Linked DNA regions of Pelodiscus sinensis. The protein of the gene in region 1 interacts with the protein of each later gene in a pairwise test. Links are inferred from orthologs where the notes say so. Each region holds a gene or a part of one and is shown in the gene's direction. Other genes may lie near its edges. The genes, in order: LDLRAD1, ADGRG7, MARCHF2 and VTI1B.

Region 1 (8,230 bases):
ACTGGACTATGGGATGGCACTTGGGGCAGGTCTTAATCTTCCAAAGTTAAACTAAAGTAACTGGACCAAAGACCTAAATGTGTGTTTCCCAAAGTGAGTGCCCATAATCATGAGGCTGTAGTCCATTTTAACACTTTAGCTTAATGACTATTCATATACTTGTTGAAGCTGTTCCACTATGTGTAAGTGACACAGATAGGGAAATGACTGCAGTGACACAGCTAGGGCTTCCCCCTCTGTGGGGAGGCCCAAGTTCATGTTCTTATTCCAATAATTATTTAATTGCAGTGTTTACATGCAGTGGAACAACATCAGCAAGAAAGACTGAGATGTGATATAGAGTACCCTCCCATATCCCAGTACTTACTAGGGCAGTGATACTTGATTAGATTTACCTATGGACCAGTTAGAGAATTTTATAAGTAGACCATTTGCACAGAAGGCTGACAATGATACAGATAGTATAGAGTAATAACTGTCAATAAAGACCTTGATTGTGACATAAGTATTAGTGTTTCTACCTTTTCTTTAATTAAAGTTGTTAATCAGAGTTATTAGTAGTACTTGCTTTGTAATGAGAGAGGTTCTGGAATTCAGGCCTGGTGCAAATTAAGCACTGGTTAAGTGGCTGGACAGCAGTGGCTGCTGGCTGGGCACCAGCTCGGTGTGAGCACTGCCTTCAGTTTTCAGAGCTGGGCACCCAGACAGCAGCCACCATGCTCTGGCCACCCAGCCAATGCTTAATTTTTGCCAAGCCTGAATGCTGGCATCTTCACTACAAACTAAGCACTGTCTAGTGTGCCACACTTGGCCAGAGGGCCACTGATTGAGTCTCACTGGCTTAGGGCTGTCTTTCCATGTGGGAGACTCAAGTTCAAATCTTTGCTTCCTATCAGACAAAGGAATTAAACCCAGATCAACCCCAGCCCAGCTGAATACTCTGATCACAGGGCTAAAGGTTGAAAGGCAGGCACCTCCAGCACTTCCTGCTCTGCTACCATTTTGTAAATAACACTTATTTAAAGATGTAGTGGATGTGTCATCTACTCAATTTGTATGTGCCCACAAAATTGGAATCCTCGTGTTGTAGAGTTCACATTTTGCATTTTTTAGTCTGAGTAACATTCCTCCTAATTTTGTTGTGGGCCTCTGTCTTTCTCTCGGGTTAGAAACCCTCTTCCCTATGGTAACATGCTTGACAACTGGAAGCTGTTTCTAGTTCTCTTTTGTGGGAGCAGAGTGAGACATAGGGCAGTAAGGATGATGAAAAGGCTGAGAATGGCAGGAGCCTATGAATGTGATGTGGTGAGTGGTAGGAATCTTATGGGGGGAAAGGCCTGGCTGAACTGACATCCTCCACTCACCTTCCTCCAAAAAAAGCAAGACTGATACTTTTTAGGAGCTGAAGCTGGCATATGAGTACCACTCATTCTGACCAGAACATGTTAGTCTTAGGCTTAGACTCAAATTCTGCTGTTAACATGAATTTTAGATGTCCTGGGAAATAGTGTGTTATAATATTCAAGCAGTGCTTCAGCTGCAAAACCTCACTGAGAAGTGTGTGATCATAGTTATATGCTGGCAGATACGAATAGGTAACAAGGAATGGATCACTTGATTACAAGTTATGTTTCTTTCCTGTGAAACACCTGGCATTGGCCATGGCTGAAAACTAGATGAATGGGGTAGCTTGACTGTTAGTCTGACCCACTGTGTCCAGTCTGTGTTCTTATGGCTGAGCATGTCTCGATTGTGCATTCAGAATCTGTAATATCTCTTTAAAACAAGTTTAATTATTTCAGAAGCTGAGCATCTATGGAGACTTGGAGTACATGAATGAACAAAATCTGACCAGATACCCATCTTCTGCTCTTCTTGTTGTTCGTTGCAAGACTGATGAACATGAAGAAGCAGGAGCTCTACCTACAAAAGTTAATCTGGCTCATTCAACTATTTAAATACTTTTTAAAAAGAATTTAATAGGCTAATTCTAGCAGTTCTATCAATTCCTGGTGGGGTTTTTTAGGGTTTCTTTAAATGCAGGGCTTAATGGTCAGTGTTAAATGCAAATAAAGTTACAGAATCAAATCAGTCTCTCATGGAATCAATTCTTTTCACTACTAGAGGAAAACATCTTTAATTTGTAGACTTCTCCCAAACATATGTAACTGCTTTTACTAGAGTTGGCAATGTGTCCTTTTTGCTTACCAAAAACTAAGCATGCTCTCTACACTTGTACCATGGCACATTCAATCAGTCACTTCTAATTTTTCTATGATGTAAGAGCAGAATTAGCTCTGTAAAAGTATGGTATAAATAAGTGGGCAGAAGATGCTTAGGCTGGGCATTTTTGGTTGTGAATAAGAACATTAGTAGGAAAACTATTGGCAGTAATTTTGTATTATCTGTTAATGTCTTTGCAAAAACCTTAAACCTTTTTCCTTAAAATAAATTTTTTTTTACTGTTGTCAATATGCAGAGCATTAATGAGGTATTGCAGACTGAGCTCTCACTGTCAAATGCAAATTTTAAGGACCTTTTTATCTTACACACACAATGTGACGTGCATATTTATTCTTTTGACAAACTTTAGCCTTCAACTCTTCAAGAACTTCTTAGGTTAGATTATACTCTTTCCAAAGACTTCCCTTTAGTTAACCAGTTGGGTCCAGTTGTTCCATTGTCAAACAAATTAATTACTGAAAACAGAATAAATGTAGCCTTTTGCTATGGCTTGCAGTTAACCATTATACATTCAGTATGAGATTCATCTACAGCATCCCTCTAATACAGTAAAAGATTAATCTGGTACATTGAAGGAATGGGGATGAGGGGCTGCTGGTTAATGAAACATTCTGGTTAACTAAACTGGGGCAAGGGCTGGGGTGTAGGAGGTGGTTGGGCCAGTGTGCAGGAGGAGGGACTCCAGGTTAGGGCTGAGGGCTTCACTGTGCAGGAGAGGGTGCAGTGTTCAGACTCCAGGAAGGAGTTTCAGGGTGCTGGCTCCAGATGGTGCTCACCTCGGGCAGCTCCCCACCAGCAGCAAAATGTCCTTGCCTCTCCTTGGTAGAGATGCAGCTAGGTGGCTCTGCAAGCTCTTCTGGCCACAGCACTGTCTCCACAGCTCCCATTGGCCATGGTTCCTCATCAATGAAAGCTGCAGGGTCAGTGCACAACTTCCATGGCAGCTCCTCTGTTCAGGAGCAGCAGGGATGTGTCCCTGCTTCCAGGGAGCCTGGTGGTCCTGTGCCAACCAGACTAGAAACCAAACTTTTACTGAAGACCAGAAATGTAACTTTACCAGCCAGAAAGTGCTATAAAAGTGCTGGATAGCATAGCTTTTACTGCATATGTAACTTGACCTCATTCTGCTACGTTAGTCTTTAAAGTGCTGCCAGACTAACTCTGCTACCCCCTGAAGCTTCTGAATTGTAAACGTTATTTTACTAACAAAACATGTAAATGGTATCATGAGCTTTTGTGGCTGTGCCCACGAAAGCTCGATACCATCTACATGTTTTGTTAGTCTGGTAGCACTTTAAAGACTATTTGTGTTAAGTTTATCCTGTACAGACAATTTGTTTTTACAATCAGTAAAAAACTTGAGATGATTATTCTAGCTAACCTGTTCAACACAGGTTTGTTCTTTCCTATAGCAGCTATAATCTTGTGCCTGCTAGATATCTTGAAGAAGGCGCTGTGATGGTTTTCCTTAAAACCCCTTTGCAAAAATTTAGAAACTGGCCTAAATATCTTATTTTGGCCAGAGTTATTAGCGCTTTTTTTAAAATGTCTGATTATATCTACATTCAGGTTAGAAGTAAGCAATAGATACTGGTTTTTGCATAGCTTTTTGTACACTAGCAAAAATTGTATTTGAGACGTTCCAGAGTAACTCATTACATAACTTGCTGTTCTGGTTTTAATTAAAGTTTTGGTTGAGTGGGAGGCGAAGATGGTTGCCGAATGGGCAAATTTTGAGGACTATATAGCTTATGCATTATGGGTCCATACTTGAAGTGCGTACCACATACACTGTGGTGCTTGCAATTGTGTGTTAAGCATACACAGAGCTGCTATAAATCTGTTCTTTAAAATCATGTGCACCTTACATTTTTTTGTCATTAAGGTATAAGTTGAGGGGTGTCTACTGTGTTAAAATACAAACATTGAATGTTTGCCCAATTACTATGTAACTTTTGGTTGATGTGGCATTGAAAGAGGATCTGACTTAACTATGAAAGTTGGAGTGCAATGCTCTTCTTAACATCTCTAAATATTTAGGTTTTTGCAAGGATCTCAATGTGAAAGTTGTTTGTGTAGTGCTTTAAAAATTAGCTTTTTTTCTGTATTGTAGTAGCAATTGTCCCAAGACTCATTTCTATGCAGTCATGTACTTAAGTACACAGCCTTGTTAAATGCAGAATGCTGATGTACTAATATTCAATGCACCTTGAGCAATGATAGCTTAAGATGCAAATACAGACTTCATACCAGTGGCCATTGCTGGTATTCTTTGCACTACCTTTGTCTGCAGGACAGTTTCAATAACACTTTAGTTATCCCAAATCTTTATAACCGGCATTGTAAATGTTCTTTGAATCTGTTTTTTCCCCTATGATGTGTAAATGTTTATCGCTTCACTGAAAGTATAATTGTCCAGTTGCCTGTTTCAGTACAATGTATAGCTCTAATTGTCAATGACTTCAATTTTAACTCATGCATGTAAAACTGTTCTTCTCATTTCGTTTTTCTAAAGGTGGCTGTTTTCAAATGTTTAAATTTTTAAATAATTGGGTTAATTAACAGTTTCTAGTTTTTTAATATTGAGCTGTAATATCTACTTAAACTTCTGGAAACCAGAAATGAAAGGAAGGAAAAGAATAAACAAAGGTTCAAATCTTGGGCATTGTTACTTGAAACGTTACTATACTAGGAATAAAGTCTAGGACTCAGTAACTCCTATAAGCAGTATCGGCGGGAGGTGGAGGGGGACCTGCATTCCTGCAATGAGATTCTTGAGGTATTAATTTCTATAAACAAATTTATATAGCTTAAAGGACCTGACTTCTACGCTATTGTACATCTTTTGTATCCAGGTTTTTCCCATTACCACATTTGATTCTGATAATTAGTTGTTACTACAGTAAGAACTGCTGGAATTAGACCGATTCACTCATCTTGGCACTAAGATATTGTTTAACTACTATGGGAGCAAACCTAGATCCTATATGCTAGTTAAGATGGCAAAACAATTTCTATTCAACTTATTTTCAAATACTCAGACTCTTGAAGTACTGTATACAGTAACTGGGTTTTGGGCTCTTCTCAAAGATGGAAAATTAAATTGCCCAAGCAATTGTAGATGAGGGACCAAATACTTCCTCCTCTTCCCCCACCCATATAATTGTGCATCTCTCCTCTTACTTTGAGAACTCGGATTCCTAAGCATAGAAACAAGAACCCTGCTGTATCGGTGGCTAAATCAGCTATACATGATTTCAGTTACAAAAAACTAGTAGTAAAATAACTAAGCTATGGCCACTGCACCATAGATACCTAGGACTCTGGTAATTCCTACTAACTGGCAGTGGTGGAAGTTCACATGCTTGCATCTCCCCTTACAAAGCTCACAAACTTTACTTCACAGATACAGAAACTGAGGGGCAAAGGCAGTTTCTGATTGAGCTGTAGTTGTCTTAACACTTCATCTCTCATCTTGGTTCTTACCTTCTACTCTAGAGCAAAGTGTTTGCTGGTCTCTGATTTCTTAATGATAGACAAAGATGAAATGTCCTGGCTGGTTCTCAGGCTTAGCATCAGAATATGGATTTACAAGGATTAGTTAGCTCTATGTGGCTCCTGAGGGGGATCATGCTGGAGTAAGGATCATTCCAATTATTCAGAATGATCCCTGAAAAAGGATGTTGAATCACTAGCATTCGTGGGTATGTGCTGTGCTGTCACGTGTGATGTAAGAATTTAAGTAAAATCCCATTTTAACTCTTTTTAAAAGAGCCAAGTGGGAGGCACCTATTTGTAGAGGCACATTCTCATGGTCTTACTTTCCTCAATACCAGCTGTAAATACTGCAGATGCAGTGATCAAAGGCAATTATACTCAACATCCCTGTCACCAGAACATCCAATTGAAATTCCTAGGACATCAACTTAACCTGCTATTTTTTGGTCTAAACTTGGAATATTTTAACATCTGCCAAACCAGTTGTAACTTTATATTTTTTTTCAACCCAGTAGTCTTCTTAAACAGCAGCCCTAACAGAGGATATTAGAGTTCCTTAAGCTGCTGGATCTTTTTTTTGTTTTGTTTTGTTTTTTTGGGCCATTTGAACGGAGCATTTTTAACAAACTTCTAGGGCACTGGTATGTTTTGTGTTCAGTGCTTCCCACACCCCCAGAATATGTTGTGCTAGGCAGTCATCTAAACTTGGAATCTTGCAGAGGCAGGAACTAGTCTGTTACACTTGAACAGTATCATGCTATTGAAACGGGAGGAGGGGAATCTTAAACTATTAAAGGATTCAGAGGGGTAGCTGAGTCTGTAACTAAAAAGACTTAAAACAATGAATAGTCTAGTAGCATCTTAAAGACTAACAAAACATGTAGGTGGTATCATGAGCTTTTGTGGGCAAAACTCATACCATCTGCTTATTAGAGGATTGTCAGTCTTAGACAAAGGCTGATTTAAGATGTGTGATGGGCTGAAAATTCCAACTTAACTAAGTCACCTTGGGCTACCCTTTGCCTGTTATGTGGAAACTGATACATGGTAGAATACTAGAGCTGGAAGGGACCTTGAGATATCAAGTCCAGTCCCCTGCCCTAGTTTGAAATGTTTCCTTTTCACTCCTAATCTCTCCAGAAATAGAGGCCCAGCAACTGATTCTGCTTTAGTGTCTGTGAGGATGGTTCCTTTAGTTATTTCACTGTGCTTCAGAAAACCAGCCTATGCCCTGGTTGCTATAACAAATCAACTTCATTTAACTTTCCCATTGAAATAGCTGTGTATATGCCCATCTCTAAATCACAGTTGTAAGGCTAGCTCGCTATCTAGCTGTCTCCTTGTCCTTTCACCTGTCTGATTTCCAGGAAGGTGACTGGCATTGCAGCATGTCTGGAAAGTTAATTCTGCTTCTGCCAGAGGCTGCTGTGCTCAGTAAGCTCTGTTCTGCTCATTTGCTAGTGAAATAGTATATGGGACAGTTGAATTGCAGCAGTGCACTGTGCTGTTCTTAGGTGGTGGTGTATGCTCACTGTTTTACCTAGGATTCACACAATATACCTGCATTGCTAGGAAAAGCTCTGATCTATCCTCTGAGCTGCTGTTATCCCCTCTTATTTACCCCCTTATCTCTAGAATTCCAGCCCAATTTCCATCTGCAGTCCTCCTGTCACCCCATTTCCTAATCAGTTTCCCTTCCCCCACAGGTGAAGTATGATGAGCTACTCCCATAGTCCAAAGTTGGATTTTGGAGGAAGGGAAGTATGCGCCTTGCCAAGAACTAGTTTGCCTCCTGTGGAGGAGCAGATGCTAAGATGAGCCTAGCATAATACTTTAGACCAAGCCAATGTCCTATGCTAGAGTAGAACAAACACATGTGCCTTTTTCTTGCACAGTTAGGGGAGGAAGAGGCACAGGCTCTCTTTCCTAACCCAGTGCCTTCTCTGTGAAGATGTGCTGGTACCAGTGAAGCTGGGAGAGTACATGCAGGCTACAGGGAAGCAGTATCTGCCCTTTTTGATACGTGCACCCATTAGCTGGTCAATTGGACTCACAGCTGCCAGCAGTGAAAGAGAGCCTGAACCACATAGCAGTGGAGTTAAAATGAGAGGCACAAGGAAGACACACAGAAAAAGGTGCTGCTGTTTTGAATATTAGGTTTAAATTAGCTGGTGCTTTTTTTTCTACCCTGCTGTCAGTTCTTGGGTTTGTTTTCAAAGTGCACACACAAACTAGAAAGACAAGGGGGAGAGGCAAAAAAAATCCCTGTTCAGCTGGTTTGCTATGTCCTGCCGTCAACATCTACAGTAGAGGGGCTGGAGAACTATCTAGACTACATAGAGCACTTTATTTGCTCAAAGCATGGTGCCAGTATAAATTGAGCCTGTGTGGTCCTGCAGTATAGGTACCTCTCCCTGTTTCATGCAGGGGAAGCAGGACTGAATCTCTTCATGGGTTTTAACTCTGATTTTTGAAAGAGACCCCTCCT
Region 2 (8,076 bases), on another chromosome or scaffold:
TATGTGTGCTTTGGGCAGATATAAATCTCTAGAAATGATATTTCCAGAATTCCAATTTAGAAGTTTGACTTTTAACACTTTTTGGGTATGTCTACACTACCCCCCTAGTTCGAACTAGGGGGGTAATGTATGCATACCGAACTTGCTAATGAAGCCCGGGATTTGAGTTTCCCGGGCTTCATTAGCATAAAGCCGGCGCCGCCATTTTTAAAAGCCGGCTAGTGCGAACCCCGTGCCGTGCGGCTACACGCGGCACGGACTAGATAGTTCGGATTAGGCTTCTAATCCGAACTATCTAGTCCGTGCCGCGTGTAGCCGCACGGCACGGGGTTCGCACTAGCCGGCTTTTAAAAATGGCGGCGCCGGCTTTATGCTAATGAAGCCCGGGAAATTCAAATCCCGGGCTTCATTAGCAAGTTCGGTATGCATACATTACCCCCCTAGTTCGAACTAGGGGGGTAGTGTAGACATACCCTTTGTGACTAATCCTATCATTTCTTTTATACACAAAATATCTCCTTTTACTAAAAATGGCATTACAAAGAGCCAAAATAAAAATGGATTTTCAAGTGTTCAGGATGTTCAGTAATTTTCCCTCTTAAGTTTTTTTCTCCCCTATCTCATGCTATTTTTACCAAATCTGTCTTGTAGGCAATCTGATTACTCTACATTATAGATGAAAGTGAATCTATACCTTACGTCTCAACAAGTACAAACATTGGCATTAGAAACTGAATCTTAATATCAAGTCTGACTCAAACACTGTAATGGATTAAACCAAAACTCCAGAGCTGAATACATCTGCATCCCAAACCTTGAAATGTTCATAATCCAGATCTGAATCTTTTCTCTCAGGCCTATCTCTACTCTAAAGTTAGTAACCTGCTGGCTGCTCATGGTTCATAGTGAGTAGTTTTTAACACATAGGGCTTGATACTGCTAAGAGGTGAGAAATCTCAAAATCCACTGACTTATATGAAGTAATGGGTTGTGCTCACAAAAGCCCGTGATACTATTTATATATCTTTTTGTTCATCTCTAAGGTGCTACAGGATCACTTGTTTTTGAAGTTTTTTTCAAGTTACATAATAGCACGGCTACCCCTCTGTAACTAAAGGAGAGAATGATAAACTTTATTTCACTGTTGCTTCTGTTCCCTTTTCCCAGAAATATTACAGTACAATACCTGCCTTGAAATCATAAAAAAATAAGAGACTAACTTCAATACATACACAACTCTTTGATGCCGTGATGTAAATGTCTGTAATTTGGAGAAATGTGATTTGGTAAAAACAGATGCTAAAGCCTCAAGTTTTAAGACTGCTTGAATTTCTGTACAAATGTTGGGTATTAAAATGATAAAATACAAGAAAAAGCAAAGGGAAAATTGTAATATATTTATAATATCTATAATATAAAAGATTCAGACATATTCTCAAACTGCCTAGTATTGTTATACATTAGTATGATAAAAATCAACCAATATCTTTAGGAATAACCTTTTTTTTTAATGCAGAAAGCTTCACCTGGTGTCTTGATTGGTTATGTTTTGAACACTGCTATATATTAACAAAGAAGTAGGACCTTTGATACTCCCTTACCAATAATTTGTTTGAATTCAAAGAAGGGTTGGAAGACTGCCAGGTTTGCAAACATACCATTTTAAAAAGGTAGTGCTCTAATTAAACCTTAAGTTATTGTTAAATATTGGTGCCTTTTTTTTTTAAAGAAAATGTAATAGTTTATAACAAACAAGATGTGTCTAATTTTATTTAAATAAAACTGATTTATTCATTGCTGAAGTCCATAATCTCTTCACTAGAAAGACTTGAATGTGTAAGGGTATGTGTGTGTATGTGTGTGTTTTTACACCTCTAGTACCCTGAAAAAACAGTTGACTGAGTGGTAACTTCCTGAATGGCAGTCATGCTTTGATTTCCTGCACTTTCCTTGCCATTTACAGGAATGAAAGAAGGCATTTTTGAGGCAGTGCCACTGAGTCTGTACAAAGCACAAATCCCCAAGAGTCAAACACCGTGTTGGAGGGGAATGGCAGGCTATATGTGCACCTTTCCTGCTCATCCCATAGGATCATAGAACTGGAAGGGACCTTGAGAGATCATCAATTCCAGTCCCCTGCCCTCATGACAGGACCAAGTACTGTCTAGATCATCCCTGACAGGTGTTTGTCTAACCTGTTCTTAAATATCTCCAGTGATAGAGATTCCACAAACCCCACCACTGGCAATTTATTCCGGTGATTAACCACCCCGACAGGAAGTTTTTTGTAGTGTCCAAACTAAACCTCCCATGCTGCAATTTAAGCTCATCGCTTCTTGTCCTAATAGCCAAGGAGAACAATTTTTTCTCCCTCCTCCTTGTAACACCTTTTTAAATATTTTCAGATACTTGAAAACTGCTATCCTGTCCCCTCTCTGTATTCTCTTTTCTAAACTAAACAAGCCCAATTCTTTCACTTTTCCCTCATAGGTCATGTTTTTTAGACCTATAATCATTTTTGTTGCTCTTCTCTGGACCCTCTCCAATTTTACCACATCTTTCTTGGAATGTGGTGCCCAGAACGCGACACAATACTCCAACTGACGCCAATCAGCGCAGAGTAGAGCAGAAGAATGACTTCTCGCGGTTTGCTCACAACCCTCCTGTTAATGCATCCCAGAATCATGTTTGCTTTTTCATCGTGCAGTCAGTCAGCAAGGCCATGCATGCTGAAGGCCTTGTGTCACATGCTGGAACTGAGGATTCCTTTGCTGCTCTGCTTCCAAGTGCAACGGGGCCATTTCTCTTGGTATTAGCATCAAATACTAAAAATGAATGAACATTAAAGAAATACAAAAGAGAACACATTCCAAATGAATTGATGTGATGGTGCCCTTCGCTGGCAGAAAAGAGGTTGGAGGCAGCCGATCAAAAGAGAGCTGAAGAGAGCAGCCAATCGGTGCCAAAGGAAGTCAGTTCTCCCTGAGAGCTTAAGGAGGAAGGACTATATTTCTGGAGGGCTGAGAGAAATGCCAGCACCTTGAACGGTGCAGTCCCCCCAGCATGGACTGAGGGAGCAAGAGACAGCTCCTGGCTGGCTGGTGAGGTGTGCAGGCTAAGGACCTGACTCAAGGCAAAGAGGGAGCTGAAGCCAGGTGGGAGGTGGCCCTGGAGGAAGGGAGTGCAGTTGGCCACTGAAGTAAGTGGTGAGAAGGTGAACTGCAGGCCCCTTGGATGCGGAGAGCACAGTGTGTGGCACTGCCAAAGGGCTGCATTGCTGAAGAGGATGTCGCAGCCCTTGGAGAGATATGACTCCTGGAACAGACATAAAGGAGGTGTGGTGAGGCACCACCTGAAGAGAGCACACTACTGTGCAGGGCTAATTGCCATGGCAACTAGCAGGAGGTGCCAGAGTGGCATGTGAATCTTGTTATAATTGGTTAAAAGGGATGAAGCCAATGCTCAGACCTCTATCTGCCCACATCATATATTACACATTGATGAGTATGAAAGAATTGCACGTGAGATTGATGAAAAATACCAGCAAGAATTCTTGAAGCTCTAGAAACAGTCTTCAGTGAATCAGAAAAGGTACCATACCTGTTATCTAGGAAAAAAGTGAACGTAGTGCCCATCTTCAAGAAAAAGGTGACTGGGAAACTGATGGCCAATTGGCCTCAGTGTCTTGTTCAACCTACCTGCATGAAAGGCCCCATGCAAGAGTATATGGGTAGGCGTTTTCTGTGCAGCTTTTGGCTCTAGATCTACAATGTTATCACTCATAAATCAACTCCTTTAAGATAAGTAGTGGAGGCTGCTAGAGATTAGGAATACGTGCAATGGATAAGGATAGGTAGCATTCTGCGCCCTCTAAAAGTTACAGATTCTGTTGAAAGAAAATGGAAACTGTCCTAGAAGTTAGCAGGCCAAGTAACTGTAGTGACTGAGGAAAGTATTTCTCTAAAGCTTCACACTCTGTTTGTTCACAATACTGCAGGGGTTGCACAGCAGTGTTGTGAAGCCCCAGAGTGTTATCTAATATATCTTTCACCTCAACATGCAAAATTGGGGCTTCTTTAGAAACCAGAGACTTGGTGTTGGACCATTTAACCTTTACACAGTGCTTACTGGATGCTCAAATCTGATAGAGCTGCCCATTCTAGGGGTTTCCCCCCCCCACACACACACACTGTGTGTTTGCAGACCCTCTGATAGGAAGGAGGGCAGTACTTTGTGGGGCAGGGGAGAGGGGTCACAAGAAGCCTCAGACTTGGCCAAAAATGTAGACATTAAAAAATGAGCTAGGTATCAAGACCTGAAATTTAAACACTTAATTGAAGCTGCTGCTACCCATTTATGATGGACCATTCACTCTTTGAGACCATTTATAGCACAGTAGAAGGGGAAATCCATCAGTCCCTGGAAAAATCCCTTTGGATGGGCTGCCTTTCCCTACTCCCTGACCTCCTGAGGTAGGACAATTGGAGCAGCTTCATATATTGAGTGGCTTCTTCCTCCCTCAATGCATGGAACAGGCAGAGTTCCTTCTACAGAGACTCCTCATTTGGCTCTAGGTCTAACTCATTCATGCAGATCAGGGACTTGGAGAGAAAGGGGGTCTGAGAGCGATGGCTGAGGTAATATATTTTATTGGACCAACTTCTATTGGTGAGAGAGACAAGTTTTTGAGCTTACACAGAGCTCTTCTTCTTTTCCCAGACCAGAAGGAGAATTCTGTGGAAGCTTGAAAGCATGTCTCTCTCTCCAACAGAAGTTGGTCTAATAAATGATAATCCTTCATCCATTTTGCCTCTGGTTTTGCCTCTCAATATTTCCTTAAATGGAACAGAAAGGGTTACATTTCTAGCCTTGACGATGAGAAAAGTAGTTAATAGTTTATCCATCACAAGGAAGTGAATTAAAAATATATTATAGTTGAGCATGCTTAGGGCATACACAAAATGCCTTCCTTTCACTGGGACAGCAGAGCGTTGATTGTGATTATTTTTGGGACAGTGACCGTAGTGCTTTGGATACTATGCATTTGGCAACTTGTTCTCAGGTTTAAATCAGGTAATACAAATATCTGTTTTATCCAGTTCACAAAATGATGTAATGAATACTGACTGAGTTCTTAGTGCCATTAGCTTCTTGAGCAGGAATGTCTCTTCTCACCATCGTTTGCAGTGTTATTGTAGCTGTGTTGGTCTTAGCAGGATTTTAAGGATGCAATACTTAAGGATTTTAAGGAGAGGCAATACTTTAATCGCTACGATGGTTATATTTTCTATTTTGGCTGAGACAGTCCCCTTTTTTAGCCATGTCCTGATCATTCTGACTTTTTTGGCAACAGTGGGCTTTTGTCCGGTTTGCTTTTGCCATCTGATCAAATGCCAACTTTTGTCAAAAAGTGGGGTGCAGTGTAGAGGAATGAGTGTTTGTGTGTGTGTGTGTGGGAGGAGAATGAGCAGTGATGCCAGTCCCTCATGAAGTGCCAAGATTCATGATGAGGAGGGAGATGAGTAGACAGGGTTTCAGCAACCCAGCCTCATGGAGAGGGTCAAGTGGCTTGAACCAGCCCCATGCTGAGGTGGGGAGAGCTCATACCAGCTCTGGGCTATGTCTCATTTTTCCTTTGGGAAATATGGTCCTACTATTGATTGTAGCAGTTCTCAATTGGGAGGTGCGAGGCCTGCTAGGAGTCCATGAGCAGGTGTCAGGATTTTCAGAGGGGTAGCCGTGTTAGTCTGTAACTGGAAAAACTTAAAAAAACAAGGAATAGTCTTGCAGCACCTTAGGGTGTGTCTAGACTACATGGCTCTGTCGCCAGAGTCATGTAGATTAGTTTACTAGACATATACAAATGAAGCGGCGATTTAAACAATCGCCGCTTCATTTAAAGTAAAATGGCTGCCGCACTGAGCCGATCAGCTGTTTGTTGGCTCAGCGCACTAGTCTGGACGCTCCGCAGTCGACATCAAAGGCATTTGTCAACCGCCCCGTTATGCCTCGTGGGATGAGGTTTACCGGAGCGGTCGACAAATGCCTTTGATGTCGACCGTGGAGCGTCCAGACTAGTGCGCTGAGCCGACAAACAGCTGATCGGCTCAGCGCGGCAGCCATTTTAATTTAAATGAAGCGGCGATTATTTAAATCGCCGCTTCATTTGGGTATGTCTAGTAAACTAATCTACCCAGAGCCATGTAGTCTAGACATACCCTTAGAGACTAACAAAAAATGTAGATGGTACCATAAACTTTTGTGGGCACAATCCGCTTCTTCAGATGAATGGAGTTTAAGGGGTCCAGTTTTCAAATAAATAACACAGAGAGGGGATGTGGAGGGGAGAAGAGGAGGAAAAAGGGGAAAGAAATTGTCAACATGTCCATGCTAAATGAAGCTGATAAGAATACTTAGTACCCACTCTAAGTACCTTTTTTTTTTTTTTGTCATTAGGATGTGGAATGTAGCGGGCCATCCAGCCAACGTTTTTGTTTAGATTTCTGTTGTAGGAATCAAACTTTTAAATGAAATTAAGCTTCCCTGTCAAGCTGGCTTTTAAAATTGTTTTGAAATAATACGGTGACTTTGAGATCCATTAATGAGTGCTGAGGCAAGTTAAAATGTTCCCGAATAGTTTTTGTGTGTTCCCTTTTTCAGATGTCTGATTTATGTCCATTAATTTTTTCTTGTAGAGACGGTTCAGTTTGGCCAATATACATGGCCAAGAGGCATTGCTGGCACTTGATGGCATAGATCACATTAGTGGATGTGCAGTTGTATGAGCTTCTGATGTGGTGGTTTACGTGGTTAGGTCCTGTGATAATATTGCCTGTATAGATGTAAGGACAGGGTTGGCCCCGGGGTTGATTGCAGGGGTTGGCTCCTGGATCAGTATGATAGAAGTGTGCTGCGTGAGGTTACAGCGTTGTCTGTAAGTGAGGATTGGCCTGTCCCCCAAGGCCTGTGAGAGGGAGGGTATGTCTACACTACAAAGTTGATTTGAACTAACAGCCGTTAGTTTGAATTAACTTTAATAGGGGCTACACATGCACATCGCTAGTTTGAACTTAATTGGAACTGGCGGCGTGCTTAATTCGAACTAGGTAAACCTCATTCTGCGAGGACTAACGCCTAGTTCGAATTAAGTAGTTTGAATAAAGGGCTGTGTAGCCACTTAATTCGAACTAGTGGGAGGCTAGCCCTTCCCAGCTTGCCCTGGTGGCCACTCTGGCCACAACCAGGGTAACTCTTCTGCCCCCCTCCTGGCCCTGGAGCCCTTAAAGGGGCACGGTCTGGCTACGGTGCCCGTGCCAGGTGCAAGCCTGCCAGCACCCAGCCAGCAGACCCTGCACCTGGCAGGGCACAAGCCAGCCACCCGCTGCCACCCAACCCTCCGGAGCCTGCCTGGGTCCGCGAGAGGCGGGCACCCGCCTGGTCTAGTGCGGAGATCGTGGACTTCATCCAGGTTTGGGGGGAGGCCTCCATCGTCCACGACCTCCGCACTTGGCACAGGAAAGCAGCCATCTAGGGCAGGATAGCTGCCAGCCTGGCCACCAAAGGCCACATGCGAACCCAGGAGCAGGTTTGCATGAAAATCAAGTTGGTCCAGTGAGACCCCCGACCCTGAGCCCTGAGCTTACAACATAAGAACATAAGAATGGCCGTACTGGGTCAGACCAAAGGTCCATCTAGCCCAGTAGCCTGTCTGCCGACTGTGGCCAACACCAGCTGCCCCGGAGGGGATGGACCGAAAACAATGACCAAGCCATTTGTCTCATGCCATCCATCTCCAGCCTTCCACAAACAGAGGCCAGGGACACCGTTCCTACCCTCTGGCTAATAGCACTCCATAGACCCAACATCCATGACTTTATCTAACTTCTTTTTAAACTCTGTAAGGGTATGTCTACACTACAATGTTAGTTCAAACTAACATTCATAGGCGCTACACTAGCGCTCCTCTAGTTCGAATTTAAATCGAACTAGCGGAGCGCTTAGTTCGAACTAGGTAAACCTCATTTTACGAGGATTAAGCCGAGTTCGAACTTACTAGTTCGAATTAAGGGGTGTGTT
Region 3 (8,150 bases), on another chromosome or scaffold:
GCTGGTGTTCCCATTTGAAGTTCCTTACTGACTTGAAACTTATTTCTGCCCTGGATTGGGCCATATTAGCAGCACATTTTACTAATTAAATAACTAGCTAATCACCATCTATTGAAGCTGTTTTGGAGAGGAGACAAAAGACCAAAATTGACCAACACTGGTGTTTGTTACTGAACTGTTCATAGTGGAACCTCATTAAATTGGCCTTGTCTATTGGGAGTAGGGTTTCTTATTGTTCAATTTTACATTCTTTTCTGTCACACATGGGGAAGTCACAGTAACTACCTAGATGTCTGAGTTCAATGAAAGGAGCTCTCAACCTGTCTTTTTATGGAGTTCATCTCTGATGAGCAAAGAAGGAAAGTCAGGTCCAGTGCAAAGTTTAAATCACTCAAATTTTGTTGTTGGAAACTCCACAAAGGACAGTCTGGTGTAATCTGTTAAATGGACTCTGTCTGCCAAAACTTGGTAGAGGTGAAAGGGATATGATTTCCCCGCCCTGCACTCATCAGAGGTATTTTGGGGGAGCTGACTATACTTGGTGCCTCTACAGACCTCCCAGCGTGTGGTGAAGAGAGTTAGTATATTTGTCAATTTAAAAAAAAAAAGATTGTGGGACATACATATGAATCAAGAGGTATCTTCACACTCCAAGGCAACTGCTCTTTCAACTGGGAAATGCAGTCTTGATTTTGAGGAGTGGTCTGTGCTTTTGCTATTTGAACAGGTCACTCATTGAAAGAAGCCAATTGGTTTGTTTGAAAACCTGCTTCTCTATTGGACCAATGAGTCCTCAGAGCTTGATGTGCTAGCCTTGTGTGTGCAAAACATTGGCACCACCTTGAGCTATAAGTGGTGTGAAAGTGAGTCCATCTCTGCCCTGTGGTGTGTTCCAGAGTGGAGACTAAAGGAAGAACAGGTACTTCAGACATCTTTATCTCTGAGGAAGCACAGATCTAATAAGGTGTTTCATAATCATCTACTGATGCCTTTCCCCCTTCCTAGCAAGGAAGGAACCTACCCTAATTAGAGGCCTGCTCTTTTTAAAAACACAAAAGCCAGGCAATTTGGACTGAAGGCTGAAATTTGTCCTTAGCTCTAAAGTGACGTAATCCAGTAGAGCTTGAAGTCTCATAGCTTCAAGAACAGACCCTTGCCAGGGCTGTGGTGTAGGATTTTATAGCTCAGAATGGACAGTGGGGTATTTCCAGACAAGTGTTGTGAGCTTCTAGGCTGCTTCGTTGCTGCCATTTGCATTTCTCTTTTGGTCGTGTTACTGGACAGGCTCTGTGGGCTGTAGCCCTGGACCTTTATGCAACTGAGAAGTGGTTCCTTTCACTTTTTTTTTTAAACTCATGATTCCTGTATTCAGTTAAGTGCAATTCACTTTGTAAATAGATTTATGCATCACTTGATTTTTGTGCATGGTTATTATGTATTGTGGATATAAAGATTGCCAAACCAAATTGTGTGTGAATTATTTTGTTCTAAATAGTCTTAGAATAATATGGGGAATCTGTTGCTTTTGGACCTGGGGAGGTAACAGAACTGAACTACCAAAAGTGAGGCTAGCAGCTCCTCTGCTGACTTTGCCAGTGATGTGACCATTTGGGGAGGAGATCTTACTAGTATGAGATACTGAGCTAATGGACGTGCAATACACAGCTGTGAAGGACTAATGCTGTTCCTTGAGCAAATGTTGCATCGACCCCTTCTCTTTACAGCTGGGGTGGGCAAAATCAGGCCTGGGGCTGGATCTAGTCGGCCCAGCGGATTAGCAGAGATGCAGACTTACAGCCGGGCAGCATGTGGTCATCTGCCCCTCCCTCACTGTGCTCTGTCCTGCTCCCAGGATTCTCCTGCTAACTGTGCGGAGGGGAGTGGGAGCGGGAGCACTGAAGTCAGGGGGTCCCTCTGGCCCTGTACTTCATCTCTGCAGAGCAGGTGTTCGAGAAAAGCCTCTTTCAGAAGCAAATTGGAAAAAGATACGCAATTTATCTAGACATAGCCTAGAACTAGATACAGTATCAGTGCAGAGTAGAGTGGAAGAATTACTACTGGTGTCTTACATACAACATTCCTGCTAATATATCCCAGACATTTTTTAAGCAGCAATGGCTACATCTAGACTGCATTGCTTTTCTGGGATACCAGAATTTATTTTTTTTCAAGAAAGCTGACACACTTTCACCATCCCTGTAAACCTTGTTTTACAAGGAATTAGGGATGTTGAAAGAGCATTGTTTTCCAAAACTTTTCACAGTGTAGACATGCCAAATTTCAGAAAAGCCTCTTGCGTACCGATTTCCCAGTGAAGTCTCGATGTAGCCAGTGTCACATGGTTGAGTCATACTTAACTTGTAGTCCACCCTGACCCCCAGATCCCTTTCTGCAGTACTTTTCCATAGGCCATCATTTCCCATTTTGCATGCGTGCTACTGATTTGTTCTTTCTAAATGGAGTATTTGCATTTGTTCTTACTGCGTTTCATCTTACTTCACCCTATTTCTCAACTTACTCTAGATGGTTTTGAATTTTAACCCTATCCTCCAAAGCACGCATGTGAGAACATATAAGAAGTGTGACCCTTCTGCTCCTCCAATTCTTTTTGACTGCCTGTGGCTGAGAGAGAGCAATTATGTTCCCTGCTGCTGTGGTCTGAAGAGCATCCCAATGCCAATTGGCACACAGTTGTCATGCTCATAGACTTTAAGGTCAGAAGGGACCATTATGATCATCTAGTCTGACTCCCTGCATAGTGCAGGCCACAGAATCTCACCCACCCCTCTTAAAATAATCCTCTCACCTATGTCTCAGATATTGAAGCCTTCAAATACTTTGAAGGCCCCAAGATGCAGAGAATCCTCCAGCTGTGATCTGTGCCCAATGCTACAGAGGAAGGCAAAAAAAAAAAACCTCTAGGGTCTCTGCCAATCTACTCTGGAGGAAAATTCCTTCCCAACCCCAAATATGGCGATCAGCTAAACCCTGAGCATGTGGGCAAGACTCACCAGCCAGACACTATTGTCGACTATATAATCAATGGATAAGCCCTAGGCTATATCAGAGGTAGCAAGGGGGAGGGAGCTGGCTAAAAGCTGGTTTCCCTCAGCACCAGGTCCATGGTGCTGCCTGCCCCCCACCTCGTGCTGCTGCCTCTATCAGAGGTAGCAGTGGGGGAAGGGGCAGGGGAGGCTGTTGCAAAACAGTCTCTGTCCCTGCTGGGCCCGATTGCCCCACAAACAGAGGCTGCTGCTGTCTGTGGGGATCTTGGACCCCCCCCCCCAGCCCAAACAGGCTGCTGCTGTCCTGCTGCCTCTGTGTCAGAGGCAACTGTGTGGGGCATTAGGCAGCTGGTCTGTGCAGGGAGCTGGTTTTTAAACTGGCTCCCCTCATGGACTGGTTCCCCTTGCTACCCCATGCTGCTGCCTCTGACATAGAGGCAGCAGCACTAAGTGGTAGGGGGCTCCCTGGGTGTGGGGTCAGGAGTGCTCTGGCTGCTGGCCATGCCCCCAGGGACTATCGACTAGTCATGTAACTAAGATTTCATGTGGTTACACAACTATTCAATTACCTGCTAGCTAACATCCCTACTTTGGGGCATATATCACTGGAAAGCTAATAATTCACTGCTCATGTTATCTGATGGTGTACAGATGGTACACTAATCTCCTGACTTCTATCTCTAGGAAGAAGCCCATCTTCTCTACTAGAGAATCTAGAAAGAGGGATAGGTCATCTAATTGAATCAACCCTTGGGAAACGTCAGATAATGGGTCCAACTGTGACTCCGGTTCATGCCAGTACCAAAGGTTTGGTACCACCTGAGAAACTGTCAGCTAAGCAGCATCAAGAAGCTCCTTTCTCACAGGCATCTCATGCCTCTTGGCAAGATGTATCTAAAACCAAAGGCCACTCAGACTGGCACTTGGTTCCCTCCCTGGTAGGCATGTTAGATAACATGTAATTGAATAGTTGTATAACTGTATGACATAGTCATGTAACCACTAACATTTGACAGTCCCCAGGGCTGGGGATGGCCGCCAGTGCACTCCCACTCCTGGGGAGTCCCCGGACACTGTGTGCTGCAGTCCCTCTATCAGAGGAAGCAGTGCAGGGTAGTAGGTTGGAGCCAGTCCGTGACGGGAGCCAGTTTCAAAACTGGCTCCCCATGCATATCGGCTGCCTACTACTCTGTGCTGCTGCCTCTGATAGAGGCAGCAAGCTGGCGGGGGATGGGGGGAATGCATGTAGTCAACAAGATTAAGCAATAAACCTAGGCGTATCAGTTAATCGTGTAAGTTGACTATGCCTTGACATCCCTGGTACTGTCTTTGAAACATCAATGCTTCAAGCTCAGAGACAATCACGTCAGATCTCCAGCAGCGCTCGGTGCAGCTGTAGCTCTGCCAGGCCTCTACCCACTACCAGCGACCTCTAGCACCCGTCCGATTCTTTCCAGGGCGGGATCCTCCTGTGCGAGGAGCCAGAGCCCCTCCTCCGAAGGTACCGCCCCCAAGAGCCGCCTCCCTGGCCCCGTTTTGGCTCGGTGCTGACAGAGCTTTGCTGGGCCATTGTACAACCCCCTTCCCAGAGCCCCCCCCCCGGCCGCAGGAGTCTGGCTGGAGCCCACGGGCGAGGGGGCTCAGTCCCGGCTCCCCAGGGGCAGGCCCCTCTGGTCTGCTTGGGTGAAATCCTGAGGAGCCTGCTCCTCCCCCTCCCCCTGACCCAGGCTGGGGCAGGTGCGGGTGGGGGGGAATAGAGTGAGGGGCGGGGCCTCGGAGAAGGGGCGGGGCCAGGGTAGGTGGCTGCTGCTGGGGAGGGGCTAGGTGGGGCAGGGTTCAGGCCCCGCCCCCGGCTCTCGCCCTGCCGCCTTCATTCCCTGCGCGGAGCCGGCCTTGCCCTGTCGGCTTCCTCGCCCGCCTGCAGGCCCGTGGCTCTGTCCATCGGACCATGCCATGACGTCTGCAGTCGGTTGCGGCAGGCGATTGGGCGAGAGAGCCGTCGTTCTGTGTAGTCCCGTGCGCTGAGTGGCTGCCGGGAGCGTAGGCGGGGCTATCCGCGTGCGCTGTTCCGGCCGCCGTGACAGCGGGCGGGAGGAGGAGGCAGCAGTAGGCGGCGCCCGGCGGCCGCAGGAGCCGGGGATGGGGCGGCCCAGGCCCCGCTGAGCCTCGGCCCAGGGCATCGGCACCGGCAGCCCCGGGCGCGCCAGGGACGGTGAGGGGGGTCGTGGGAGCGGAGGGGAGGAGTCTGTGCGGGGAGGGGGGAGCTGGGACTGGGGGGAGGGGTCTGTGAAGGGAGGGGGGAGCTGGGACTGGGGGGAGGGGTCGCTGCGGGGAGTTGGGGGAGCAGGAGGAGTGACCAGGATTGGGGGGAAGCTCAGGAGTCAGGGGACGGGGGAGGGAAGGGAGCTGGGATTGGTGGGGAGGGGTCGCTTCGGGTATCTAAGTTGGTATCTAAGCTAAACACTTGCTGCCCTGAGCTCCCCTAGGCTGAGGCAGATTCTCTGGGGACAAGGGACAAGAGTTGGTTGTATCAGCATTGCCCTGAGGCTACAAGGCTGTCAGTCTGTCTGGTTGCCCAATGACTTTGGAATTCCCATCTGCCTGTTAGAGTGTTTAACTTTTTACTTTCCAGCTGTAGTTATTGCCCATCAGGTCACTTCCTGCATTTCCTTATTTGGTTAACTGGTTAAACATCACATTTAACCAGTTAACCAATGAAATGGGATTTTATATCCCGAGTCTCGAGTCAGTTACACTTGCTGAGGAGACACAAAAATCATACAACACTAGAACTGGAAGGGACCGTGAGAGGTCATCAAGTCCAGTCCCCTGCCCTCACGGAAGGACCAAGCACCGCTGAGATTCTTCCGGATAGATGTCTGTCTACCCTGCTCTTAAATATTTCCAGTGATGGGGATTCCACAACCTCCCTAGGCAATTTATTCCAGTGTTTAATCACTGTGACAATTAGGATGCTTTTCCTAATGTCCAGCCTAAACCTCCTTTGCTGCAGTTAAAGCCCATTGCTTCTTGTCCTATCATTGGAGGCCAAGGAGAACAATTCCCCCACCCCATGACACACTTTTAGATACCTGAAAACCACTATCATGTCCTGTCTGTTGTCTGTTTTCCAATCAAAACAAGCCCAAATCCTTTAGCCTTCCCTCATAGCACGTGTTCTCTAGACCTTTAATCATTCTTGTTGCTCTTCTCTGAACCGTCTGTAATTTCTCCACATCTTTCTTGAAATGTGGTGCCCAGAACTGGACACAATACTTCAATTGAGACCTAATCAGTGCGAGAAAAGTGCAAGAATGACTTCTCCTGTCTTGCTCATAACACTCCTGTTTATGCATCCTATAATCAGTTTGCTTTTTTTGCAACAGTGTCACCGCTGACTCCTATTTAGCTTGTGGTCCACTATGATCCCTTTCTGCAGTACTCCTTCCTAGACAGCTGCTTCTCATTCTGTATGTGTGAAACTGACTGTCCCTTCCTAAGTGGAGTAGAAGGCCAGGTAGTCTTCTGTTGTTGGCAGTTAAGGCTGTGTTATCTTGCTCCTTATCCATGAGCTCTCATATTAGGAAGGCGGGCAGCACTGATTACTGCAGACATGTGCATGTGAATGCTCTAGCTGCTCCCCATCCCTAACACTCTGGAGCCAGTTTGGAAGAAATTATTGCAGACATGACAATGCTGTGCCATCCACTCTTGTAGGGTCAGCAGCATCTTGTCATTGACTGCCTGGAACACTGCAGAGACTGGGTGGCATCTGTGCCGTGGCTTGTTCTTTTAGTTGCCATAGAGTTTGTTGACTAGCTTTTAGGCAACCAAGAATAGGGAGTGGGCTGCATGGGATGCCCTCCTTCATCTCAGTGGGCATCCTGCAGCCCACTGGTGTTCCATCTGCAGATTGCCTGTCTGCCACGTCCCCCACGTGCCTCTTGTGCACTGGGGCACCTGGAGTTCCAGCTCTGGGAGACAGTGGAAGGAGCGGGGATGGGATGGAGCATGACTCAGTGAATTCATGATGCTCCGAAAGTGCTGGGGGAGAAGGAGAGGACTAGGAAGTGTGTGGCTCTGGTGCCCCAGTGTGTGAGAAGCGCAAAGGGGAAGGGGTTTGACCAGAGTCCGCAGGTGGAGTCGTAGTGGGCTGCATGTGGCCAACAGGCTGCAAGTTGCCTAACACTGCGTTAGAGCTTGTCTCTGTGTCACACCATGGATTGAAACCAGATTGTGGAGAGTCCATGTGAGCATGGCTAAATGGGGAAGGTTGGAGACAGGGCACTAGTGGAAAGTGTGTATTAGTACCAAGAAAATTGACTTTGTAAGACCTTATGGACTATTTCATTCTCTGACAGGGTTTTAATTTCTATTGTATGGCTTCATTGTTGTTGACTGGCTTTCCCTACATGGAGAGGGCAAGGATCTGTTTCAGAAGGGTGGGTGGGTGGGTGTGTGTGTGTGACACAGACACTGAGTTCATTCAACGGAGGCAGGATGGATACTGCACTCTCTTCTGTCAGATCCTGTTACCATGTCCTTCAAAATCTGCACCCCTGAATGATGGAATTAAGATTTTATCTACACTAACCCTTTTGTTGGCAAAACTTTTTGTTAGGGGTGTGAAAAAACATCCCTCCAACCGACATAAGTTTCATGAACAAAAGAGCCGATGAGGACAGTACTATGTCAGCAGGAGCCAACATAGCTATTGTGGCTTGTTTGGGGTAGTGTGGTTTATGCTGGAAGGATGCCTCTCTCCCACCACCATAGCATGTCTACACAGGAGACCTTCACAGCTGCATCTGTTGCACTATAAGGTCCATAGTGTAGACCAAGCAAAAACAGGACTATGTAGCACTTTAAAGACTAACAAGATGGTTTATTAGGTGATGAGCTTTTGTGGGCCAGACCCACTTCCTCAGTGATTCCCAACCTTTCGAGCATATGGACCCCTTTTCAATCTGTTAAAATGTCTTGGAGCCCTCCCCTCTGTAGAGCTATGTAGTGAAGAGACACTACAGTGGGCCCGATCCTTAGTTTTAAACTTTCCATGGACCCCCGGAGTACTGTCGCAGACCACCAGGGGTCTGCAGACCACAAGTTGGGAACCACTGGTGTAGACAGAGCCTGAGTGAATCT
Region 4 (7,633 bases), on another chromosome or scaffold:
GGAAAAGGGCCAGTGTAGACAGCACAGTAGTCTTTTCTGCAAAAAAGCCCCGATCGCGAAAATAACAATTGGGGCATTTTGTGGAAAAGCGCGTCTACATTGGCATGGACGCTTTTCCGGAAAAAGTGCTTTTCCGGAAAAGCATCCTGCCAATGTAGACGCGCTTTTCCGGAAATACTTAAAACGGAAAAACTGTTCCGTTTTAAGCATTTCCGGAAAAGGGCGCCAGTGTAGATGTAGCCATAGACTTTAAGGTCAGAAGGGACCATTATGATCATCTAGTCTGACCCCCTGCACAGTGCAGGCCACAGAATCTCACCCACCCCTCCTAGAATAATCCTCTCGCCTATATCTCAGATATTGAAGCCTTCAAATACTTTGAAGACCCCAAGATGCAGAGAATCCTCCAGCTGTGATCTGTACCCCATGCTACAGAGGAAGGCGAAAAACCTCCAGGGTCTCTGCCAATCTACCCTGGAGGAAAATTCCTTCCCGGCCCCAAATATGGTGATCAGCTAAACCCTGAGCATGTGGGCAAGACTCACCAGCCAGACACCCAGAAAGTTCTCTATAGTAGTAACTCCTATCATCCCTCCATTGACCTATTTCCTACTGATAATGAATGGTCAATTAGTTACCAAGATCATGTTATCTCATCAAACCATCCCCTTCATAAACCCATCTAGTTTAATCTTGAAACCAGATAGATCTTTTGCCCCCACTACTTCCCTTGGAAGGCCGTTCCAGAACCTCACTCCTCTAATGGTTAGAAACCTTCGTCTAATCTCAAATCTAAACTTCCTACTAGCCAGCTTATATACAGGCAGTCCCCGAGTTACGCGGATCCGACTTTCTGCACTTACGAACGGGGCTTTCTCGCCCCGGAGCTCGCAGGCAGCGGGACCGCCCAGAGCACAGCGGTCCTGCCACCTCGACCTCCGGGGCGAGAAAAGCTGCTCCGGGTGCCTCTGGTCTGCTGGGGACCGTCTCCAGCAGACCAGGGACACCGGGAGCAAAGCCGCAGTGGCGGCGGAGTCCCGCGCCTCCCCAGCTTTGCTCCGGGTGTCCCTGGTCTGCTGGGGACTGTCTCCAGCAGACCAGGGACACCGGGAGCAAAGCCGCGGCGGCGGCGGGGTCCCGCGCCTCTGAGGCTTTGCCAGAGCAAAGCCTCAGAGGCGCGGCACCCCGCCACCACTGCGGCTTTGCTCCCTGTGTCCCTGGTCTGCTGGGGGGGGCGCAGCTAGTGCGCCCCCCCCAGCAGACCAGGCTTTTGTTGTGGACCCTGGGGTAGAGCAGCTGGGGTGCTGCCGGGTTGGTCCTGCAGGGACCTACCTGGCAGCCCAGCTGTTCTGTCCCAGGCTCGAGATTCAGCCGCTGTTGAAACTGATCAGTGGCTGATTCCAGGAAGCTGGGGGCAGAGCAATTCTGCCTCCAGCTTCCTGTAGTTAGCCCCTGGTCAGTTTCGGCAGCAGCGGCTGAATCTGGGGCCAGTTCCGACTTACATAGAAATTCAACTTAAGAACAAACCTATAGTCCCTATCTTGTACGTAACCCGGGGACTGCCTGTACATTTGTTCTTGTATCCACATTGGTATTAAGCTTAAATAATTCCTCTCCCTCCCTGGTATTTATCCCTCTAATATATTTAAAGAGTGCAATCATGTCCCCCCTTCAGCCTTCTTTTGGTTAAGGTAAACAAGCCAAGCTCCGTGAGTCTCCTTTCATAAGACAGGTTTTCCATCCCTCGGATCATCCTAGTGGCCCTTCTTTGTACCTGTTCCAGTTTGAATTCATCCTTCTTAAACATGGGAGACCAGAATTGCACACAGTATTCCAAATGGGGTCTCACCAATGCCTTGTATAATGGCACTAACACCTCCTTATCCCTACTGGAAATACCTCGCCTAATACATCCCAAGACCGTATTAGCCTTTTTCATGGCCATGTCACAATGGCAGCTCATAGTCATCCTATAATCAACCAGGACTCTGAGGTCCTTCTCCTCCTCCGTTACTTCCAACTGATGTGTCCCCAGCTTATAACTAAAATTCTTGTTATTAATCCCTAAATGCATAACCGTACACTTCTCACTATCAAATTTCATCCTATTGCTATCATTCCAATTTACAAGATCATCCAGATCTTCCTGTATGATATCCCGATCCTTTTCTGAATTGGCAGTAGCTCCCAACTTTGTGTCATCTGCAAATTTTATCAGGAGACTTCCACTTTTGGTGCCAAGGTCAGCAATAAAAAGATTAAATAAAATTGGCCCCAAAACTGATCCCTGAGGAACTCCGCTAGTAACCTTCCTCCAACCTGACAGTTCACCTTTCAGTATGACCCACTGTAGTCTCCCCTTTAACCAGTTGCTTATCCACCTCTCAACTTTCATATTAATCCCTATCTTTTCCAATTTAACCAATAATTCCCCATGTGGTACTGTATCAAATGCCTTATTAAAGTCGAGGTAGATTAGATCCACTGCATTTCCTTTATCTAAAAAATCTGTTACTTTCTCAAAGAAGGAGATCAGATTGGTTTGGCACGATCTACCTTTTGTAAAACCATGTTGTAATTTGTCCCAATTGCTATTAGCCTCAATGTCTCTAACTACTTTCTCCTTCAAAATTTTTTCCAAGATCTTGCATGTCAAATTAACAGGCCTATAGTTGCCCGGGTCGCTTTTTTTCCCTTTCTTAAAAATAGGAACTATATTAGCAATTCTCCAGTCAAATGGTACAACCCCTGAGTTTAGAGATTTATTAAAAAATGTTGCTAATGGACTTGCAAGTTCATGTGCCAGTTCCTTTAATATTCTTGGATGAAGATTATCTGGACCCCCCGATTTACTCCCATTAAGCTGTTCAAGTTTGGCTCTAACATCCTAGCATGGCAGATGAGGCCATAACAGGCAATGTGATGGCAAGTATGTGGCTGGAAATTTAAAAAGGTTATTGTGCAGCTGTAAGCTTGGGTTGGTGTGTACTATCTCCAATATCTTGCTAGTGGCAATCTCGCATCTGATATTATTGCTCAGAATTGGGAGCCCTCGGAGTAGAGTTGAACAGAGTGCCAGAGATGATATGCATGGTGGCATATAACTGCATATCCACCTATTTGGTGTGTGACGATTGACTCCATAATGGTGTACAGTACTCCACCACCAAATACAAGGCACTGGCGAGAGCAATGGATACTTTATAATTTCTAACCAGTCCTTCGTCGCTGATCCCACAATTTGCTTGCCTGGTTTTGACTGCCCCATTGTCAGTGATCCCTATTGAATAGGTTCCGGACTGAGCAAGGTCTCTGTGCAGCCAATCATTATCACTGTGGCCTTCGGAAAAGTCCTTTGAGCAGCTGCAGCATAACACAGACAATGAAACATGTTGTCTTTGAATGCCTGGTGGCTAGGTTCAGTGGTGATGTAGAAGAACAGCATCATGCCACTGAAGATGCCATTGCTTGGCTTAGAAGACTATGCACATACTAAATAAATAAATAAATAATCTATGTACTGTATCTGTCTGCTCCGTGGACAGGAGAATTCAGTATCCAGATCTGCCAAGCCAGCACCTGAATTAGGTTCATATACATACAAAGCTACTACTGCTTTGGATGACACAACATAACAAACTCAACATATTGGGTTTCTCCGTGGCTGCTGGTGTGTGCACATTTTGCTCTTGGATGTACTTGTAGGGCAGTACTCTTGTACATTTTCCCTCCCTTGCCTGCACAAAGGGATGGAGTCATAAGTGACTTGTGGTAGCACTTGAACCTCTATGCCCCAGCCAACATTTTAATTGCTAAATGGGGTGCCCACACATGCCCCCTCTCATCCCGGCCTCGAGGTGGCCCTTCCTATACCCCACAGCACAGGAGCCAACGGGCTCACCAGGCCCCTAGGCAAGGCAAGGGGGGAGGACAGCTCCCTCTCCCGTCAATGGCCGGTCCCACAGGCACCCTGCTCTAGCGCCTGTGACAGAAGCCCCCAGGATCAGTGGTAGCAGCTAGGGATCTGAAATCCCATGTAATCAGTGAACCGCCTTAACGGGATGGGGGAAGGGGGCTGGCTGCTCCAGCCGAGCTCGGCTGCCCGTTAACGGCTGACATCCCTAGCAGCAGCGCGCGGCGAGAGGACGCTTCACTGGCACGGTCGGGTTTGCAAACTTAAATTGGGAGGAGGGACCCACCCGAAAATCCCCGCGCTCCCATGTGACCCTCCCCACAGCTGCCCTGCACTGCCTGAGGCGTGTGCCCGGGCCCACAGCGGCGCCGCTGGCGAGAGCGCCCTCACGCGCAGGCGCTGCCAGACTGAACGCATCCGGCAGCTATCGGCGTCCAAGGGGCAATCTTACTGGATGGGAGCAATCCCAGAGACTACACTTCCCGGCATGCCGTGCGCGGCTCGGAGGATGGCGCCTCCCCTTTGGGGTGGCAGCGACTATGCCTGCTCCGTAGAACGGCGCTAGCCCCATTGGCGAGCGGAGATTCGGGCTCCACATGTGGCTCTAGCAAGGCGAGAACCTCGTGGCCAGAGGGCCGCTGCCCGCGGTGCCGAGCGACTGATCATCAGGCGCCATGTGGGCAACCCCCTGGGCGGGACGAGGCACTGGGATGGGGAGGCCCCGACTCGCGTCCCGGAAGTGCCTGTGAGGAGGGGGCGATGAGCCCGGACCCCTAGTAGCAGGCGAGAGGGCCGGGACACGACAGCAGCTGCCGCCATGGCGGGTCGGGGCTCCGGCTCCTCCGAGCATTTCGAGCGGCTGCACGAGATCTTCGGGGGGCTGCACAAGCAGCTGCGAGGCGCCCCGGAGAGACTGCGGGGGAGCGCGGCCGGTGAGGGAGCGCGCGCGCGCGGCCGTTATTGCTTAGGAGCGGGAGACCCCCCCCCCCCGAGTCTGTCTGGCGGGGGGGCGGCGCAGGGTCATTGGCATCCTTATTAGAGGCCAAGAACTGAACGGGACGTGCAAATTGAGGTCTGACCCTTAAGATCAGGCGTCTCAGACTCTGCCCGGGAGCCATTTGTGGCCCGAGTAGTTCCATAATCTGTGCTGCTCCGTGAGTCCCCCATCGCACCCTCTCCCTCAAGCCTCTTCCCCCAAAGGACGCAGCCCTGGTGATTTCCAGTAGAGCTGGTATGTGATGGCAGCAGCCATCGCCTCCCCACACTCACCGCGGCAGAGCAGCACAGCTCTCTGCTCTGCCCGCCACCACCTCTCCGCTTCACCTTGGAGGCAGCAAAAAGGAGTTCCCCAGCCCCAATGAAGGCTGGCTACTATGTAGCTTTGCTTTACTACGACTCCCACTCCTGAGGTGAATGGCGGGGGGGGAGGGGGGGGAATACTGCTGCTGCCAGCTGTAGCCCATCCAGGGCCCTGCAGGCTAATCTGAGTATGGGGGACCATCCTGTCCATAAGGTAGTCCCACTGACATCACTGCACTTACGTTATGTAAATTCTTGTATACTTTGGGCCTTTGGCTTAAGTGTCAGCACAAACATGAAACATATGCAATGTAGGGCTGTTAAAATGCATTTATTTAGGTAAATGTGTAATTGCTGAAATTTTCAGCAATTACACATTTACATGCAAGGTGGGAGGCAGCTCCTTCCCCGCCCCCACTGCTGCCTTGTATCTGAGGCAGCAGAGTGGGGGCAGGTGTCTCCCTGTTTGCACTAGCTCCCATCTGCCAGCAGTTGGGGGGAGGGGAAAGGAGCTGCATGTAACTGTGAAGGTTAACCGATGATCCCAGGCCCATTCCCTTCTGAAACACTAGAATCTTGCTTAAAGTAGGGATGTGAATAGTTAATTAGTAAGCATCAATCTATTGAAATGTTATGGACTCCCTAAACAATATAGCTGTGCCTGCAGCCTGCACGTCCCTTAGCCCAAGCTGCTTTCTGAGCCGCATCCCTCAGCCCGCTCGGGAAGCAATGCAGGCTGAAGGACATGCTGGCTGCAGTAGGCTCTGTACATTTATTTTAATTTCTACTTTAAACTTTCTGCAGACCCCCCTACAGTACTGTTGCAGACCACCAGGGGTCTGCTGACAACAGGTTGGGAACAACTGGGTTAAACATAACATTTAACCAGTTAATTAATTAATTAAACATAAATTTATATCCCTAGCTTAAAGGCCACTATCTAGTCAACTGAATTAATAATGAAGAGTTAAAAGCAGTTTCTAAGTCTTCTAGGCAATTTTTGTAGTTTTACTGCTACGTTTTCTTATTTTTAAATGATTTCCTCTTTCCTGTTGCTGTGGGAGACCACATAATCTACAGAAGATTTCTAAAGTGAAACACTGTGCTGCTGTTAAATGTAAAAAGTAATCCTGGAAAAATGAGCTTTTTTTTCTAATTTTTGAGTTTTACTGTTTGATCTAGCTAGCAGATACTGGTAAGTAGGTGAAATGATTTCTAATGGAAGAATCTCTCTAAAAGTTGATGGTGGCCTTTTAATTCATCTGGTGAATGCTGGTTATATTGGGGGGAAAAGGGAAGTGACCTGACAAAGGAATGTTAGCAATATAAATGAATTTCCTCACAATCAGGAAGCTCCCTTTCTTTTCAGAAGTGTGACACCGAAGTCTACTCAGCTGATATCTATTCTTTGCCAGAAGAGTGAATAAGGCAAAATATTCCTTGTTCTTTGGCACTTGTTAGTCATGTGACCACCAGGATTAATTATAGTAATTCTCTGTACTTAATATGTAAGCATCAAACTCATAAAAACTTTGTTGTTTAGAATCCAGTAGCTCCTATGCTCAGTCTCCTAGGCTGTTGAGAACACAACACTGCAGTGTTCAACTGACAAGTGGCTCCCCATTAAATACTGAGTTGAACTCAAAGTCTGTGTTCTCTTCTTTGAAATTCTCCATAAAATTGTCCCAAGAATTACTTCATGTAGTATGATGATGACCTTCCAAAATGGCAATATTCTACTGGACACAGTATATTATTATCATCAAGAATGGATCACAAATATGGACTTGCTTGATATTGAAACTGACTGCAAAACTCAAGTTACTTACAATCTAGCCTTCCCTCCCAAAACCCCTATAAATCTATCTTTTGCTGCTTTGCTGTATGGAAGAGTGAGAAATGACTCATCACTTTATAATTTTGGGAGGCACTCTGATACCAAAGTGAGGGGAACAAAGAAAGCACTTAAATAGAACACTATCCCACGTTCAAAATTAGAACAGAACAGTAAGCAGGAAGCTGATTTAACTGTATAGTGCAATTTTAAAAGGTAATTTTATGAATAGTGGTCATGGAAGTTTGTCAGTAAAATAGTGTCATTAAAGTTGCATGAAAAACTGAGGGAGGGTCTGAAGAAATGAGTTGCTGCTATTAAGGCTAATCAGTTTAATTGTTGCCAAGCAATTTTTGAAATTCTTATTAAGGATAATTTTCAGTTGTAAATGCTATAAATCATTGCTCAAACCAGGAAAATCCCCAAGAATGATTTCAAAAATAATTTGCAAGAAATTTTGTGGGACTTGAGGAAGGTCCCCATATGGGGTAAGTAAATTTTTTTTAGTGGATGTTTCTTCTGCATCTAGTTAACTGGGAGCAGGTGCATCTTAGTGTTCTGAAAAGTCCCATGAAGCTTTCCTCAGA

What was found.
Region 2: the proteins of LDLRAD1 (region 1) and ADGRG7 interact in binary tests that used the Homo sapiens proteins (3 or more experiments, as listed by UniProt). The two-hybrid records come from large-scale screens. The link is inferred for Pelodiscus sinensis from reciprocal best matches to the Homo sapiens genes LDLRAD1 and ADGRG7.
Region 3: the proteins of LDLRAD1 (region 1) and MARCHF2 interact in binary tests that used the Homo sapiens proteins (3 or more experiments, as listed by UniProt). The two-hybrid records come from large-scale screens. The link is inferred for Pelodiscus sinensis from reciprocal best matches to the Homo sapiens genes LDLRAD1 and MARCHF2.
Region 4: the proteins of LDLRAD1 (region 1) and VTI1B interact in binary tests that used the Homo sapiens proteins (3 or more experiments, as listed by UniProt). The two-hybrid records come from large-scale screens. The link is inferred for Pelodiscus sinensis from reciprocal best matches to the Homo sapiens genes LDLRAD1 and VTI1B.

What each region holds. Positions count from the first base shown.
Region 1 is NC_134719.1:11,283,578-11,291,807, reverse strand, and holds the start of LDLRAD1 (low-density lipoprotein receptor class A domain-containing protein 1), read left to right. Parts: upstream 1-5,047; 5' UTR 5,048-8,230. Other genes in the region: TMEM59 (transmembrane protein 59), read left to right, coding at 1,803-1,958.
Region 2 is NC_134711.1:150,957,657-150,965,732, forward strand, and holds the start of ADGRG7 (adhesion G-protein coupled receptor G7), read left to right. Parts: upstream 1-4,917; 5' UTR 4,918-4,961; coding exon 4,962-5,073; intron 5,074-8,076. UniProt on the Homo sapiens protein: Orphan receptor.
Region 3 is NC_134729.1:25,339,386-25,347,535, forward strand, and holds the start of MARCHF2 (E3 ubiquitin-protein ligase MARCHF2), read left to right. Parts: upstream 1-5,059; 5' UTR 5,060-5,217; intron 5,218-8,150. UniProt on the Homo sapiens protein: E3 ubiquitin-protein ligase that may mediate ubiquitination of TFRC and CD86, and promote their subsequent endocytosis and sorting to lysosomes via multivesicular bodies.
Region 4 is NC_134714.1:72,556,428-72,564,060, reverse strand, and holds the start of VTI1B (vesicle transport through interaction with t-SNAREs homolog 1B), read left to right. Parts: upstream 1-4,485; 5' UTR 4,486-4,730; coding exon 4,731-4,845; intron 4,846-7,633. UniProt on the Homo sapiens protein: V-SNARE that mediates vesicle transport pathways through interactions with t-SNAREs on the target membrane. These interactions are proposed to mediate aspects of the specificity of vesicle trafficking and to promote fusion of the lipid bilayers.